Oryctolagus cuniculus: one gene and its partners. The protein of the gene in region 1 interacts with the protein of each later gene in a pairwise test. Links are inferred from orthologs where the notes say so. Each region holds a gene or a part of one and is shown in the gene's direction. Other genes may lie near its edges. The genes, in order: CKM, ASB9 and TRIM63.

Region 1 (5,740 bases):
CTCGCTCTTGGCCAACTCCACGTCCACTGTAAGACTGCTTCATTCAGGGGCCGGCGCTGTGGCGTAGCCGGCAAAGCTGCCGCCTGCAACCCTAGCATCTCACTGGGGTGCTGGTTCGAGACCCCGCTGCTCCACTTCCGATCCAGCTCTCTGCTATGGCCTGGGCAAGCAGTGGAAGATGGGCCAGGTCCTTGGGCTCCTGCACCCACGTGGGAGACCTCTAAGAAACTCCTGGCTCCCGGCTTGAGCCTGGCCCAGTCTTAGCCTTTGTAGCCATTTGGGGAGTGAGCCAGCGAGTGGAAGCGCTCTCTCTGTAACTCCGCCCACTGCTTCGTTCTGGGGTGACTCCGGCTTCCTGGGGCAACAGCACCTCCTTTCTTCCCTCTCAACAACAGCTCCCCGCGAGGTCCAGAGAGGCCAGCTGCAGACAACAGCTCATCTCAGTGGTCACAAGGCAGAGACATCGCAACAGCAGTGAGAAGAGGCCGACCGAACAGAACCGGCCGAAGAACAACCCGGCAACAACCCAGCGCGCCTCCAGGGCCTCCGCACGGGCGCTGCAAGGGATCCTGGGAAGGGGAGTTTCTGGCATCTTTGCCTTCTGCAAAGGAGTCGGGCTCAAGGGCAGGAAACTTCCCGAACACAGAAAGGGCTTCTGCCTCTGTGCGGCCAAGCGCCCCCCAAGGGGATAGAGGAGCCCAGGGCTTGGCTGTGCCGCCCGCTGCAGTGACCCAGCTGACCCACCTCTCCCTGGCGCACAGCCCTCAGTGGCTCCCACCCAAGGCACGGTGACACTGACACTCCTCTCGCAGTCCCCCGGGGCCCCGCGGGTCCACTCCTGTCCCCGTCTGCACCCCCAGCTCCTTCCTGACCTCTGCTTCTCCCCCATATCCAGCCACTCCCACCCCAGGGCCTTTGCACCTGCCGGTGCCCCCGCTCCCCCCAGCACTGGCTCCCATCTCTCCCCCAGGTCTCAGGGGCCTGCCTGCCTTTGCTCCCCCCTGTCCTGCCCCCTCCCATGCCCCACGGGCCTCAGTTTCTGGAACCAAGAAGCCTGCCCCCACGGGGAAGGGACGGGGAAAGGTTGTCCGGCCGAGGTGGAGAGCCCCACTTTTCCCTGAGCCAGCCCCCACCTGGCTGGAGAGGAATGGGGGAGATGGAGGAGAAAGGCACCGGGAGACAGGGATGTCCTCTGATCCTGGGCAATCCTGGGAGCTCCCTGAGGGAGGTGCCCCGCTCAGCCCACAGCCCTGGCACCCACCAGGCAGAGGAGGCAGCTCCCAGAGTCCCCGGCTGAGGGCCGGGGGTGCCCACGTCCTCGCGAGTCGGGCACCCAGTCCCCTTCCCTGGGGGCCTCGGGTGCCCTTGTAAGGAGGCAAGGCCCCAGGACACCCGAGCTGCCGGCTATAATTAGCCCGGACACGTGGGCCCCCCGCCAGCACCTGCCCTGAGCCCCCCTACCCGCAGCCTTGGGTGCTGGGACTGCCGACAGCAGAGACCGCTCTAAAAATAGCTCCCTTCCTGGACGGCCCCTCCCAGCAGGCCCCCCACCCCCCGCTGAGGGGCTCACTGCCCCCCCGGGGGGGTTGTCCTGGGCTCACTGCTGGGTGTCCCTGGCGCTGGTGCTCCCTAGGGTGTGCAGCCCACGGCAGGTGCAGAGGCAGGGGGCACCCGCGGGGGGCTGGTAACAGCAGCAGGCCTAGGGGCCAGGGGACGGCGAGCTGTACGTGCCGGGACACCCCCAGCCACTGTCCCGTGCTCCCGGCGGGGGGCCAGCTGTCCCCCGCCAGCCCGACTCAGCACTTGCTCTGCACATCGGCCTGGGGCGGCCCATACAAGGGCATGGGGCTGGGCACAAGGCACGCCCGCGTCCAGGTGGGCACTGTGCCCGGGCATAGGGGGGGGAGAGGCTGGGCTGCCCTCCAGGCCCCCTCCCTGGGGCCAGCCCCGCCCAGCCAGTGGCACAGCAGGGTCCCCTACATAAAGCCGGGGCCGCGGGCCCTGGATCTGCCTCAGTGTCGCCTGCAGGACACACGTAGCCCCGCTCAGCACAGCCCAGCCAGGTACCACCTGCGGGGCCTCAGTGGGGGGGGGGGGAGTGAGAGGCAGGGGCCTGGGTGGGGGGCGGCTGGCTGGCTGGGCCTTGTGCGCCTGGCTGTGCCTTCCCTGTGAGCCTGCCTGGCCGCCCGTGGGCCCTGTGACTGGGGGGCATGCTGAGGGTCACGGGGGAGCATCCCGGGGGTGAGAGCAGGGGTGGGGGCTTCAGCAGCTGTCAGCCTGCAGGGGCTGGGCCAGGCCTGTGCCCCTGAGTTTGTCACCGAGCCAGCACCGCAGGCCCTAGGAGGTGCCCTGGGCTCTTCGTGGCTGTGACCATGGGTCCCTGCTCTCCTGTGGCGGGGGGGGGGGGCGTCTCTACATTTGCAGGTGTGACTCCGTGCCCCAGCAGAGCTGGGGAGCTCAGGGATTGTGGGCGTGGCTTGCACCTGGGGGCGTGGTCTGCCTCAGTGCCCTCTCCTGGGGCAGCCCAGCAGGGATGACCGAACGTCCTCTGGGTGGGGGGTGGGGGCGGGGGTCTGGGCTGAGGCCCAGGCTGTCCTTGGGCCCTAGGCCGTCTGTGCAGCGTCCCAGCCCCTGGGCCCACCTGTCTCGGGCCTGCTGACTTGGCGCAAGCTGAGCCCAGGAGCGAGGGGGGAGGCGGGGCAGCCGCTGGGGGTGTTGGGGGGGAGCAGTCAGCCAGATTCTAAAAATAACCACCCTGGCCCACAGCCCTGAAGGTCTCCGGGGGCCCCCGTGCCCCCCCATCTCACTCCAGCCCCATTCCCCTCCCTCCATCCCACTGGGGGGCCCCTGCCTCGCCCAGTGTGGTGAATAAAAGTGTGGGTGATGGCAGCCGCCGCCGCTGCCAGGCCCGAGCTGGGCGCCCCAGGAGACGGAGGTCCAGAGAGGCCTGGGGCCCAGCCTGGGGCCGCACAGCAAGCTCATGGCTTTTCTTCCCACTGAGCCCTGCAAGTCGGGGGTCTGGCAGGAGCAGGGGTGGGGCCCGGGCGTCCCTCCCCTCCTCTCCACCTGGATGAGCACCAGACAATAGACGGGGGGTGCTGAGGGCTATACCCCTAGTGTCACTCCCTCCAAGTGAGTCCGGCTGTGATCCCATCTGCCAGATGAGTCAAAGGAGGCCCAGAGGGGTCCAGCCGCCGGCCCAAGGCCACACAGCCGGGTGTTAAGTGGCAAGTAGCTGAGCGGGGCTTGGAAGAGCACAGAGCCTGCACCTATTCCATGCCCTGCTATAGGTCCAGCTTTGGGGGAGGGGTTTCCCTCCCCCACCCCCCATTCTCCAGTTGGAGAAACCAAGTCTCCAGCGGGGAGACTGCTCCTGGCCGGCTCAGCAGCGGGGGCGTGGCCGAGTTGGGACCCTCCTGCACCTGGCTCCGAGCCACGCTGCCTGGAGCCTCGCTCAGCTCTCCCCACCGGCCCCGCAGCCCCCCGACGCCGCCACCATGCCGTTCGGCAACACCCACAACAAGTACAAGCTGAACTACAAGTCCGAGGAGGAGTACCCGGACTTGAGCAAACACAACAACCACATGGCCAAGGTGCTGACCCCCGACCTCTACAAGAAGCTGCGCGACAAGGAGACGCCCTCCGGCTTCACCCTGGACGATGTCATCCAGACAGGCGTGGACAACCCAGGTAACCGGCCGGGGGGGGCTCGCTCTTCTCACCTGCAGAATGGGAGCCGCCTCTGCGGAGCTGTTTGTCAAAACCGAGTAAGGGAATCCAGCTGGAGGGCTTGGGACAAACCACAGCCACGCGACGCCCGTGCGCAGTCGCCCCGAGAGGCCCCCTGGGGCGCCATCTGAACCTCCCTCAGTTTCCCCTGCGCCCAGGGCTTCCCGCAGCGCCTGGCACCAAGCGCACCCTCGGATGCGGTGGGGACGCAGCTCCCTCTCGGAGGACTCCCCTGGAGGGCGGGCGGAAGTGGGCTCTCTCTGGGCAGGAAAGCGGTCTTCCTCATGACCTTGACCGCTGGGAGCCCACAGCTGAGTCTGAACACACAGAGGCTAAGATCCCATGACTCAGGGGCTGCCAGGCGCCGGCCCCCACCCCAGTCCTGCCCCCTCGCCCCGTCTGCGCATGCGCGACTCGCTGAGCTCCGGCCCTTGCCCCGCCCCCCGGCCCCCAGGGCACCCTTTCATCATGACCGTGGGCTGCGTGGCCGGTGACGAGGAGTCCTACACGGTGTTCAAGGACCTGTTCGACCCCATCATCCAGGACCGCCACGGGGGCTTCAAACCCACCGACAAGCACAAGACCGACCTCAACCACGAGAACCTCAAAGTTGGTGACCCCGGGGGAGGGGAGGTGGGGAGGGGCAGAGGAGGGAGAGAGAGAAGGGCCCATCTGGGGCGATGGACACCGGGGAGGGGCGGATAAGACAGAGGTGCGAGGGTGTGCGGAGTGGGGCTGGGGGAAGACGCAAGGCCCGGTATAGAAAGGGGAGGGGCGGCACTGCTGCAGAGCAGCTGACTCTGCCACCTGTGAGGCCCACGTCCCGCCCCAGAGTGCCTGGTTCGAGTCCCGGCTGCTCCACTTCTGGTCCAGTTCCCTGCTAATGCATCTGGAAACGCAGCAGCTGATGGCACGAGTCCTCGGACCCAAGCCACCCACAGGGGAGACCCGGATGGAGCTCCAGACTCCTGGCTTTGGCCTGGCCCAGCCCTGGCTGTTGCAGACAATTAGAGGAGTGAGCCAGCAGATGGAAGATCTCTCTCTTCCTCTCTCTCTCTCTGTCTCTCTCTCTGTCTCTCTGCCTTTCAAGTTGATGAAAATAAATATGTAAACATTTAAAAAGGAAAAGAGAAAGAGAGAGAGAGAGAGAGATGGAAGGAGGGGGGAGAGATGGGGAGGGGAGATGGACAGAAACAAAATGGGGAGACAAAGAGGGAGAAAGAGGCAGGAGCGGAAGCAGGGGCGGTCGAGGAAGTGGGGGAGGCCTGGGCTCTCTGGGGGGGGGGCGGAGGCCCTGCCCGGCCTGACCTCCGCCCTCCCCGCCCGCGGCCCAGGGTGGGGACGACTTGGACCCCCACTACGTGCTCAGCAGCCGCGTGCGCACCGGCCGCAGCATCAAGGGCTACACGCTGCCCCCGCACTGCTCCCGTGGCGAGCGCCGGGCCGTGGAGAAGCTCTCCGTGGAAGGTGAGAGCCTCCCCGGCCGTGGGGCCCAGCCCTCCAAACACGGGGGCCCTGGTACCAGCTTGCTGAGTGACAGCTGTCAGTACCGCCCATGTCCGAGGTCTGCGGGCCCAACACCGACCCCCATCCATGCACCCACCCAGCCCTCATTCCCAGTCGTTCTGGCCCAGTGTGGGGCCTCAGGGCTCCCGGGATGAGCAGGGCTCTCCTGGAGCTCTGTCTGGTGCGAGACGTGAGGGCGCACACCAACCTCCCCACGAGCAGGAGCGCCCCAAAGTGCCGAGAAGCATGACCTTGGGGGTGTGGCAGAGGGTGACCCCAGACAGGCAGTGTGGAGACTTTGCTGACTGACGGGAAATTATCTTGGGGTGCCTCCCAGGCAGGGAGAGCAGCAAGTGCAAAGGCCCTGAGACTGGAGGGCGAGCAGGGAGGCCAGCGTGGCAGCGGCGGCGTGGGTGTGGGCGTGGGCTGAGGACAGAGCTGCGGGCGGCCAGGCTGTGCAGTCCTGTGGGCTTGGGGAAGAGGGACACGGCTCCCTCTCTGCAGA
Region 2 (5,491 bases), on another chromosome or scaffold:
GACTGGAGGTTTCCCAAGGCCTCAGGAGGAAAGCGTCTGATAACCCATGGGTAAGGTGTACCTGGGACATCTAACTGAGGGCTGAGGAGAGGCTCCACTCGTGAGAATGCTGCACATGGCAAGACATGGCTGTGGCCTTCCCACCTGCTGCAAGCAATCATTTTCTTTTCGTACCTAACCTGGGCCAAGTTCACTGAATAGCCAGACACGTGCAACGATGCTCACAAGGGCTGATTAGACATTGGTATAATTGCTCTCTCTCTCTCACGGGTCTTGCTAAGCCACCCCATTTCTCCATAATCACAGTCCACATGGTCCAGTTTTATCCTCCTAGTCACTAGTGTATAGATTCCCTCCCAGGTAAGAGGGTAACCACCTGGACATCATTATTGTAATACTGGCAGTCACATTTGAATGTGGAAAGAAAAAAAATCTCAGCTTGAAATTTAATTAAAAGAAAATAAAGAAGCTATACTACGGAGATTTTCCTGGGATAAAACGGTAATAGTTTCCAGCTTCCCCAGTGTGCTCCTCTGTTGAACTCCTTCTTACCTAGTCTATGTTGGAAGCAAATTTCTCAGTGTCTGCCAAACACAGGTTTATCGTTCTTCAACTCTTTCCTTTTGGAGTGGTGAGAAAACTGCACGGCCTTCTGCATTAATTCTGCAAAGATGGAGGGCAATTTGGCAGTGTTTATCCCAGTTTCAAATGAGCCACCTCTTTTTTTTTTTTTAACACCGAAGTTTGTGTTCAGAGAATGAATGATAGACTCACCTGCAGTTGTCAGAAAGAATACAGAGAAATCGCCCATATTGTTTGCTGGTTTTCCCCAGTGGTACCTTTTTGCAGAAGTATAGCACAATATCATAACTGGGACACCGACATTCATACAATCTACCGGTCTTAGGCACTCATTGGTTTGTGTGTCTACAGTTCTCTATGCTATATCACGTGTGTATGAGTATACTCTTGACTCAGCATTTCCACTCCTAGGAATCTCCCAAAAATTGCATATGTGCACAAAGCCATATGTACAAAAACATGGTCTTCAGTACTTTTGTAAGTACTAAAAGAAATGGTAACACAGTGCTTCCATTATTAGTGGAATAATCAAATACTTTGGCATATTATGGAATGCTAGGCAGCACTAACTAAAGAAACAGCAAAGCTATATGCACTGAAATGGAAAGCTCTCCCAGAGCAAATCAGTGTAAAAAGCATAGAACCAAAGGTTACTGTAATTACATTTCATGGAAAATAGAGGGGGATAAGTGTGCATACGCATGTGCACACAAATGAATTTAAAATAAGAAAGCCTCTTCCAATCCTTAACGGTGGTTACCAAATGTTCCAACTGAGAACCCGTGAATTGAAAACCTTTGGCATTAAAATAACTCTGTGACCACTGCACAGCCAGACTGCGTTTGAGACTAACTCAGAGCCTTACCCCGCTGGCGTGAAACTCCTCCTCTGTCTGAAGAAGAGGAGCAATGGGAGTGGAGGGGGCCGTCCGCACGAAGCAGCACCCAGGGGTATGGGGAAACTGGGTTTATCTGAAAAGACAGATACAGAAAAAAAAATACTTTGTACCAGCAAGCTGATGACTACTTAACAACAACAACACAAAACAGTTTGAAAAAATAACAATAGAAAGAGAGGAGGTTTTTTCCACATCTCCTGCCACCCAGCAGCCCATGAATGCAATTGCAAGGCTTCATTATTTACTCAGAAGTTAATACCAAATATGTGGAGGAAGGGTGCAGGAGGACATCCAGTGAACTCCCTGCAGGTAACAGGAAGAAGACGAACGCCCGGTTCTGTAACATATAGACACATTTTCCCATAAGAAACTCCCAGCAAAATTGAAACCACATGTGCAGATGGCCAGGGTGTGCAGTGTGTGTTACTGTGCAAGCAGTCCAGCAGGGCTGCTGCAAAACCAGCTTTCTCAGCTCTTGGTGCTGGGCTTGTCTCAACAACAAGAAACCCCCACGTAACAAACGGATCCCGGGAGGGGGGTCAAGGTTGCAGCCTGAGAGCTGTTTCCTTCACACCCACCCAGCTCCCCTCGCTTTCCCCAAGTTACAAAGTGAGTTTCCTTCCTGATAAACTCCAAGGCTTTCTCAACGATTGGTCTCAGTATTGGAAAGGACGTGACATCAGCAAATTTGCAGACTTGGGGCTGGGGGGCTGCTGTGGGCTCTGGCTGGCGGCCAGCCGGCGAGGTGGAGTGTGTGCGTGCGTGGGCGTGCGTGCCTGTCTGCCTGACCACAGGTAGCGCTCCGAGTGCCATGCCGGAGAGCCTGAGCAGAACGTGTGCTGTTCGGCCAGCCACAGAACTGGGAGTTCCCGGGAACAGGGGGAACATGGAATTTGGACTTTACTGAGCAACTGGAGCGTGGACCTTGCTGGCCCGGGAAAGCACCATGGATGGCGAACAAGGGGGCAGGATCGGCAGCAAGCCCCCGGGGCTCGAAGGCTCTTCTGACACTAGGCTGCTTGCAAACCCATTGATGGGGGGTGAGTTGCTGGGGCCGGGAACCGGAGTGTGGGAGGTTGGCTGCTGTGCTTAGGAGAGAGGAAAGGAAAGGGCCGGGCGGTTTCAGTCGCTCTGTCCGAGGTGGGTCTGTGGGGAAGTGACTGGACAGACGGCTCTGGCCAGCTGCTACTGTCCCTTACACTGGTGTTCAAACGTGTACACCTCTCTACCTCTCTGTGCAGAGACACCTCTCTACCTCTCTGTGCAGAGCCCGTGGAGGACACGGATTTCGTTGTCACAGGTTTTTCTCCAGTAAACACTTCAGCTCCAGGGAATCATTCCTTCTGAGTCAAATGCAATTAGTTGCAGGTTTAAATTTACTTATAAATAGGAAAATTTTAAAGCCAAAACCTTCTTTGTGTGAAAAAGTCTTTCTTATTTGGTATTTAGGTGGGACTAGATTTATAAATGATGTTCAAATGCTGATTGAATCATTTTAAAAGGCTTTTTTTTTAAAGCCTTTGGAGAGATGTCTTAGAGGTATGATTCCCACCTGCTGTCGTTGTTAATGGATGGAGGCCCACACATAAAGACACTGTCACACTCATATGAGCATCCAGCAGGTGCCTGTTGGCTGGCTGGATTCCAAGAAATGGGTCTAGGCATTGAACAAGGCATGCTTATATTAAACACCTTGGTAGACAGCCCATAACATTTGTTGATCAGAGGGATAATAAAAAAGTTAGACCTTATTAATCTCCTACTGTACAGGTACTCAAAGGGAAAAAACCTGGAAGAAATAAAATAAGAAATGCCTTCCCTTTGACTGAGCCAACAAACTGGCTCATTTGTTCATTATTGAGCACAAATTTGGAAAGAAGAGCAGCATCAAAACTCATTTTTAAAAAAGAATTTGGTTAATATATTTTAAAAGCAGCAAACCAATTATTATGGAAAGAGTCAGTAATTTGGTTGATTCCTGCATGATTATTTTACTGTTAAGTATTTTACTTATTTTTTTTCCACATAAGAGGCACTAGCCACTTTTCACTGGGGTTTCTAAAGGTCCCGAGCCAACCCTGATTGGACGGGCTGGGTGGGTGATGTTGGATGGGTGTTACCCTCAAAAGGACGGCGTTTAGAAAGTGAGCACGTTGTTTGAGCTACCATGTAGAGTCTTAGGGAGTGCGGACAAGTCTGGAGGCATGCAGCTGGCTAGTGAAGCTTTAAAGGGCTTCAGGAGGCAGGGAATTGGGAGCTGTGCATTCTGGTGTGGACTTCGCAATAATGAGAGCTGTAAGTAAATCTGGTAGCCATGGGATACATTGTAATGGGGTTTTAGGAGAACCCACTGGTTCTCAAACTCCCCTGTGCCAAAGCATCACCTGGAAGGTTTGGTAAAATGCAGGCAATACAGCATCTGATGATGGATAAAGAAGGGGCGAGGCCTGAACTGTGCAGCCACAGCAAGCTCCCAGGGGCTGTTCGTGGCACTGGTTGGGGCCCACGTGTAAAGAACCACTGCACTAGTTGCAGTATGGAGCTTCCATTTGGATTAAACTTTGGAAATAACAGAGAAAGAGTGAGAATCTCTTGGGAAAGAGAAATGAGACTCTTGCTGCTTCATTAAATATTAGGGTTAAAGGAGGGAAGGCAGCCGAAATGGTAACGTTTGCAAGTCTAAATTAGCGTCAGCTAAGAGAGCTCCATAAGCAGATCGGGGAGACGTGTGTGAACGGGGAGTTTTGTTTCACACCTAGACGTGCCCGGGGTGGCTGCTCACCAGCCTGGTGCTGTGCTGAGGCTTGGGAGCGAGCACAGGTTGCAAGTTGCGAAACTCGGGCAAGAGAAACTGTCTGATGGCCAGGAGCCGAGAGCTAAGGACAGAGCTCCGGAACAGGCCTCCAGTCAAGGAAACAGGATCAGGAGTCGGACAGGGAAGCTGGAAGAAACTCCAGATGTTGTAATTCCACAGCGACTAAGGGAAGAGAAGCTTTGGAAGAAGTGCAAATCCCAAGGATAGAGGCCCAGGCACGTCTGCTGTCTCACCTTCTCACCGACTGGCAACTCCTAGTCATCTTCCACACCTAGTGCAGCCACTGCCCCCTCGAAGCTCTCCCGGACTTTTCTCCTCCCCATGCAAGTGGAGTCATTCGCTTCCTGCTTCGCAGGAGTCCTGCCTCTTGGGCAAAACCTCATTTATAGTTGGTTGTAATTGTTTAGACACCTGAAGTCTTGACCTTCATGAAGGATGGAATGTGGAGCACTCAGAATTCAGTTTCCAAGCGGCTGGGCGAGAAAGCCGGCTCAAGTGAAGCATGTCCCCTGGCACGAGGCCAGCTGCGAGGGCACACGGGGCCCAGGGGTGGTTCGTCGTAGGCAGCTTTGCCCTTCCCACCTCCACCTGCAGGGTGTCCTCCTCTGGAGAGTGGGAGGAAAGGTTATGAAGATGGGCAACTGGCTCTTTGTAGAGACTTAATACTTGACCCTCCTGTCCCAGGTGCAGGGAAAATATGTCTTTTTTCCTGCTAAAGGTACTGTATTAATGAGTTGAATTGTATCCTCCCTGTAGTTCTGAATGTGACCTTTATTTAGACAACAGAGTTCTTGCCCATGTGATTAGTTAAAACGAGGTTGTAACTGCAGGGAGATGGGTCCTTAATCTCACATGACTGGTGTCCTTCTGAGACAAGGAGAGGAGACCCACAGGGGAATGCTATGTGATGACAGATGCAGATATTGGTGTGAAGCTTCTACAAGCCAAGGAGCACCAAGAATCAATGGCCATTGCCAGAAGCTCCAATGGATGAAGAAGGTCATCCCTAGAGCCTTTGGGAGAGCCTGGTGCTCTGGCACTTTGCTTGCAGACTTCCATCAGCCCTCTGGCCTCTAGAACTGCGAGACGATAGCTTTCTGTTGTTGGAAGCCACCCAGTTTATGGCAACCCTAGGAAAGAAATTCATACCTACTCTTAGAATCTTTGGAAAATGCATTGAAGTTATCCTTTAAACT
Region 3 (5,487 bases), on another chromosome or scaffold:
CCCATGGCCTCTTAGGCGTAGCCAAGGCCCTGCGGCCGCTGCTCTCAACCTTCTGCTCCAGCGCCTTGGACCAGGCGACCCCAAGGTCCTTGCATGAGGCTCTGCCTTAAAAACCTCCCTTGGGCCTGCTCAAAGGACTTCTACTGCCAAGGTGAAAGATGCCCTTGCGAACGTGGAGGAAGGGGCCGGCGTCGACGCAAAGCAGGTGAAGCTGCCTTCTGCAGTGCTGGCACTGGTTTGAGTCCCAGCTGCTCCATTTCTGGTCCAGCTCCCTGTCAATGTGCCTGGGAAAAGCAGTGGAGGATGGCCCAGTGCTTGGGGCCCTGCACACATATGGAAGATGTGGATGAAACTCCCAGCTCCTGGCTTTGGTCTGGTCCAGCTTTGAATGTTGCACGCATTTTGGGAATGATCCAGCAGATGGAAGATCCGCTCGCTCTCTTTCTCTCTTTCTCTCTCTCTCCAACTCTGCCTTTCAAATAAATAAGTAAATATTGGGGCTGGAGCTGTGGTGTAGCAGGTAAAGCCGCCACCTGCAGTGCAGTGCCGGCATCCCATATGGGTGCCGGTTCAAGTCCTGGCTGCTCCACTTCCTTTTTTTTTACTTGACAGATAGACAGTGAGAGAGCGAGACAGAGAGAAAGGTCTTCCTTCCGTTGGTTCACCCCCAAAATGGCTGCCACAGCCAGAGCTGCCCCAATCCAAAGCCAGGAGCCAGGTGCTTCTTCCTGGTTTCCCACGCGGGTGCAGGTGCCCAAGCACTTGGGCCATCCTCCACTGCCTTCCCGGGCCACAGCAGAGAGCTGGACTGGAAGAGGAGCAACCAGGACTAGAACCCGGCGCCCATGTGGGATGCCGGCGCCACAGGCGGAGGATTAACCAAGTGAGCCATGGCACCGGGCTGCTCCACTTCCTATCCAGCTCACTGCTATGACCTGGGAAAGCAGTAGAAGATGGCCCAAGTCCTTGGGACCCTGCACCCACGTGGGAGACCGGAAGGAAGCTCCTGGCTCCTGGCTTCAGATTGGCACAGCTCCGGCTGTTGCAGCCAACTGGGGAGTGAACCAGCAGATGGAAGACCTCTCTCTATGACTCTGCCTCTCTGTAACTCTGTCTTTCAAATAAAAGAAATAAATCTTTAAAAATAATAAGTAAAGCTTTTTTAAAGTGGAGTAAAATTGAAAATGTGTGCCGAGACCCAGGGGAGCCTTCCGGCCAGTGCTGAGCGTCCAGGCGGGGTTTCCATAAGAGCTGCTCCCCTCTGCTCCTTCCTGGGCTGTGCACATCCCAGGGCAGGAGACCGCTCCTCTGCCTGTCACCTTGGTCCCTGCTGCACTGAAGAATGTCTGGTGTGTGGATAAGGTTCCTGGCTTTGCTGCTAGGAAGTGTAAAGTCTTCTCTTTGCTGGGACTCATTTCAAACTCTATAGAATGAGGGGACTGGACTCAAGGGAGCCCTTTCAGCGTTAAGGGGAATAAGTGGCCAAGAGAGGGAGACAGACACCCCGGGTGGGGCCTCCCCTGTCTACATGAGACGCTGGGCTCAGGTGCGAGGCTCAGAGAGGGGCGGCCCTGTCCCTTATCTTGAGAGCTGCCCAGGACTCCAGGGGAGTGGCAGGCACTGATTTACGTTAATGAGGGGGACAGTGACTATGAACCCCTGAATCCCCGAGGTCCCCTCCCTGGATCCCATCCCTGGCCCAGCAGCCTAGCTAGGGGGACCCAGTTTCTGGAGGGAACTCTGGGTACCCATGCCCCCGCCAGGCTGCCTCCGAACAGGTTGTTCTTGTTTTCGACCCCCTATGCCCGGGGAACAGCGATTGCTCAGGCTTGCGTGTGATCTGAGAGGGCCGCGTCTCCCAGGCTTGGAAGAAACTCAAGCCCCACCGCGCACTTGGCATCGGAATGCTCAGCTGGTCCCCTCCCGGGCTCATGTGACCGAGACCCAGCTATAAATACCAGAGGGGCCCCAGTCCCGGACAGAATTCAGACGCGGGGAGAAGAAGGCCGAGAGATTCCGAGCGGGTGTTTGTGACAAAGGCACAGGTCTCCGGAGCCAGCAGGTGGAGGAGGCAGCCACCCCAACGTTATGGATTACAAGTCGGGCCTGATCCAGGATGGCAGCCCCATGGAGAACCTGGAGAAGCAGCTGATCTGTCCCATCTGCCTGGAGATGTTCACCAAGCCGGTGGTCATCCTGCCGTGTCAGCACAACCTCTGCCGCAAGTGTGCCAACGACATCTTCCAGGTCGGTGCTGGCCATGGCCGCTCCTGGGTCCCTGGGCGGCAACTCGGCGGCCCTTTGCTCTTAGCCGAAGGCCCTGCAATGCGAGCTGATTCTTTCCGCTTCCGAGTGATCCCCTGTGGAGGCCTCTGGCCTGGGCTGGGGCTGGGGCGGTGGCTCTGGCGGCCCCGCTGCCTCTCCATGACGCATGTGTCCCTCCCAGCCTGTCCACAGCTCCCCCGCCTGCCCTGGGCCCGCTGAGGACTGAGAGTCAAATGCCTCAAGTGATAAGGGGGAGGCAGGCAGAGAGGGGAGAGAAACCAGACCCCTGGGGCCCGGCCAGCGCCACAGTGGCAGGGGGCCCGGAGCTGTGGGAGGAGGGGGACGGGCAGGCACGAGGCCTAGAGGGCCCCCCCACCGAGGCTGTCCTCTTCAAGGTGGGAGCCGGAGGGGCTCTAGGGAGGTCTGGCAGGCAGGCAGGACCCAGCGGTCCCCAGGAGCACCGTCTCCAATGCCACTTCACTGCTTCACCTTTGCCCTAATTATAGCACCCATTTCTTGAGTGGGCAAACTGAGGTTTTGAGAGAGAAAGTCACTGCCCAGGGTCAGGCAGAGACGGAAGCCAGGCCTGCTGACTGCTCGGGGGCTCTCCGGGCAGGGGTCTGTTCTCACCTCAAGAGCGGGAGAGACTCAAGAGGGAAGGGGCTGAGGAGGGAGCACTGGCCTCACCTCTACCTTGGCCACCGCAGGCCGCAAATCCTTACTGGACCAACCGGAGCGGCACGGTGTCCATGTCCGGCGGCCGTTTCCGCTGCCCGTCCTGCCGCCACGAGGTGGTCATGGACCGGCACGGCGTGTACGGGCTGCAGAGGAACCTGCTGGTGGAGAACATCATTGACATCTACAAGCAAGAGTGCTCCAGGTCAGCTCGCCGGCCCCGAGACCCTGCCCCCAGAACCCGCCACTAGGGACCCCTCGGGCTGCACTGCCGGGGGAGATGGGAAGCGAGAGGGAGGGACAGGCCTGGGACCTGTGAGGTGGCCGGCTGGGCAGGGAGAGTGCCCAGTGACAACATAGCCAGGAGCTGCAGCGATGGCTACATTGTCTCCCTTGCCAGCCCTGGGGAGGCTCTGCCTGCCTCGCAGCCACCCTGTAGACCGGGAGGGACTTCTGTAATCCCCAAGAAGCCAAGTCAGTGACTCAAGGCTTCCCAGCCGAGAAGGGGGCGAGCTGGGGCTGAGCCTGGCCCATCGGGTGCTGAGTCTCCCTGTTAATAAGAGAGGCAGCATCTGTGAGTGGTGGGGCCGGCTGGAGACACAGCCGCTGCCGGGAGAGCGGTACAAATGAGGACATCCTGACACCACTCCCAGCTGCTGACCTCACAGCCTTTTTGGTCTAAAACCTCCACCAAGCACGTGGCAGCAGGCAGTGGCCTGCCCAGAGGTGCTGCCAACCATGCCCGCGGAGGAAGAGCCCTGGCCTGGGGCCTGTGATGGCCGCTCTGCCCCGTTGTTAATGCATTAAGTGGCCGAAGCGTGGCTGTGACTGTGGGCTAGGACACCGATGGGCAATGTGACACAGTCAAGTGCTCCCTGAGCACACGCTGTGCTCAGGCACTGTCCGGAGTACTTCCTGTCTCAGTCACTCTGTGAGGCATTCGCAGCTCCATTTTCCTATAAGGAAACGGAGGCTCAGAGAGGGTCGGAGATTTTCCCAAGGCCACACAGCTAGAAGAGAGAAGGTGTGACTGACTCCATGGTGAATGTGCTTTTTTCGTTTTAAAAATAATGTATTTATTTGAGAGAGAGAGAGAGAACACATTCCCATCTGCTGGTTCATGCGTGAAATGCCCAGCGGGGGCTGAGTTGGAGCTGAATCTGGGAGCCCAGAACTTAATCTGGGTCTCCTACGTGGGTGGCAGGAGCCCAATTACTTGAGTCATCAGCACAGCTTCCCGGGTCTGCATCGTAGGAGCCCGCGTCAGGAGCTGGAGCCGAGGATCCACCTGAGAACTCAGCTAGGGGGAGCAGGTGTCCCGAATGCCGGGCTCAGTGCCTGTGCCTGGTGCATATTCCTCACCGCTGGTCTAGATTGTGGCTACAGGATGCACACGGGCTGTGGGTCGCTATAAAAGTAGTCCAATCTGTATTGCATGGGAATACCAGCCCCCTCGGGGAGCACCTCCGCTGAGCGCGCTGTGTCGGAGCCCCTGAGGCCTCTCCAAGGGGAGGAGCGTCACAGCCGCTGCGCTTTCCTGGGGCTCTGCTCTGTGCTGGGCACTTCCTGTTCCCGCAGAGAGCTTCGGCAATTCTTCCTCCTGTCGGAGGAAACCAAACCCAGAGGAGCCAAGCAACTTGCTCCAACGGTCTGGACGGAAGCCAGAGGGAAGGATGGGCACCCAAGGGTCAGGGGTCACAGCTTGTCTCTGTGCACCACTGCTGGCCCCAGGGCTCCTCTCCCAGGGCCGGGAGACCCCTACCAGCATGCAGGCCCTGGGCGGCAAGATGCAAGAAGACAAGTCTGGCCAGGGGCTTCTTTAAGAACTGCGGGGGGAGGACAGAAAGCTGGGCTGTGGGCAGTCGTGCAGGCTGTTGGAGGTGAGCCCTTGACACTGAGAGGGAGTTGTCTCCATCCGACACTTGGGAATCAGAAGTGGCGTGGATACGGCGCTGGCTCTAAATGAGTATGTAGGCCAGTTGAGGAGGTAAGATCTGGACTCAAAAAAAAAAAAAAAAATCAAACGTACATGCCATCACTGTGGCTCAGAGGCTTGGGCCACCGCTTACAGTGCCAGCATACCATATCACAGCTCTGTCCGAATCCTGGCTGCTTTGTTTCCAATCCAGCTCCCAGCTCATGAGCCTGGGAAGACAGCGGAAGATGGCCCACGTACTTGGGCCCCTGCACCCACATGGGAGACCCAGAAGCTCCTGGCTCTTGGCTTAGGCCTGGTCCAGACCTAGCTGTTGCATACCATTTGGGGAGTGAACCAGCAGATGGAAGACCTCTCTCTCTCTCTCTCTTTCAGTTGCTCTGCCCCTCAAACAACTACATCTTAAAAAAAAAAAAAAAATAGAACCCAGGTTAGGAAGGATGGGGCTGTTGGAGGCCAGGGCCTGACCTGGGGACACCCTCATGGTGTGCTTACTGGTGAAGCCCTTTGACTTGTATTTAATCACTACCTCCTGGGCACCAGGCACTGTACACTGTCGACTCTGGGAGGGAGGAAACAGGTGAGTTTCCCGATGGAGGTTACAGCCTGCT

The links.
Region 2: the proteins of CKM (region 1) and ASB9 interact in binary tests that used the Homo sapiens proteins (3 or more experiments, as listed by UniProt). The two-hybrid records come from large-scale screens. The link is inferred for Oryctolagus cuniculus from reciprocal best matches to the Homo sapiens genes CKM and ASB9.
Region 3: the proteins of CKM (region 1) and TRIM63 interact in a two-hybrid assay, tested with the Homo sapiens proteins (2 studies listed by BioGRID). The link is inferred for Oryctolagus cuniculus from reciprocal best matches to the Homo sapiens genes CKM and TRIM63.

What each region holds. Positions count from the first base shown.
Region 1 is NC_091449.1:11,498,012-11,503,751, forward strand, and holds the start of CKM (creatine kinase M-type), read left to right. Parts: upstream 1-2,031; 5' UTR 2,032-2,063; intron 2,064-3,479; 5' UTR 3,480-3,497; coding exon 3,498-3,690; intron 3,691-4,183; coding exon 4,184-4,338; intron 4,339-5,063; coding exon 5,064-5,196; intron 5,197-5,740. UniProt on the Homo sapiens protein: Reversibly catalyzes the transfer of phosphate between ATP and various phosphogens (e.g. creatine phosphate).
Region 2 is NC_091453.1:1,414,793-1,420,283, reverse strand, and holds the start of ASB9 (ankyrin repeat and SOCS box protein 9), read left to right. Parts: upstream 1-2,091; 5' UTR 2,092-2,426; coding exon 2,427-2,520; intron 2,521-5,491. UniProt on the Homo sapiens protein: Substrate-recognition component of a cullin-5-RING E3 ubiquitin-protein ligase complex (ECS complex, also named CRL5 complex), which mediates the ubiquitination and subsequent proteasomal degradation of target proteins.
Region 3 is NC_091438.1:145,359,463-145,364,949, forward strand, and holds the start of TRIM63 (E3 ubiquitin-protein ligase TRIM63), read left to right. Parts: upstream 1-1,939; 5' UTR 1,940-2,088; coding exon 2,089-2,247; intron 2,248-2,972; coding exon 2,973-3,145; intron 3,146-4,786; exon of another isoform or gene 4,787-5,487. UniProt on the Homo sapiens protein: E3 ubiquitin ligase. Mediates the ubiquitination and subsequent proteasomal degradation of CKM, GMEB1 and HIBADH.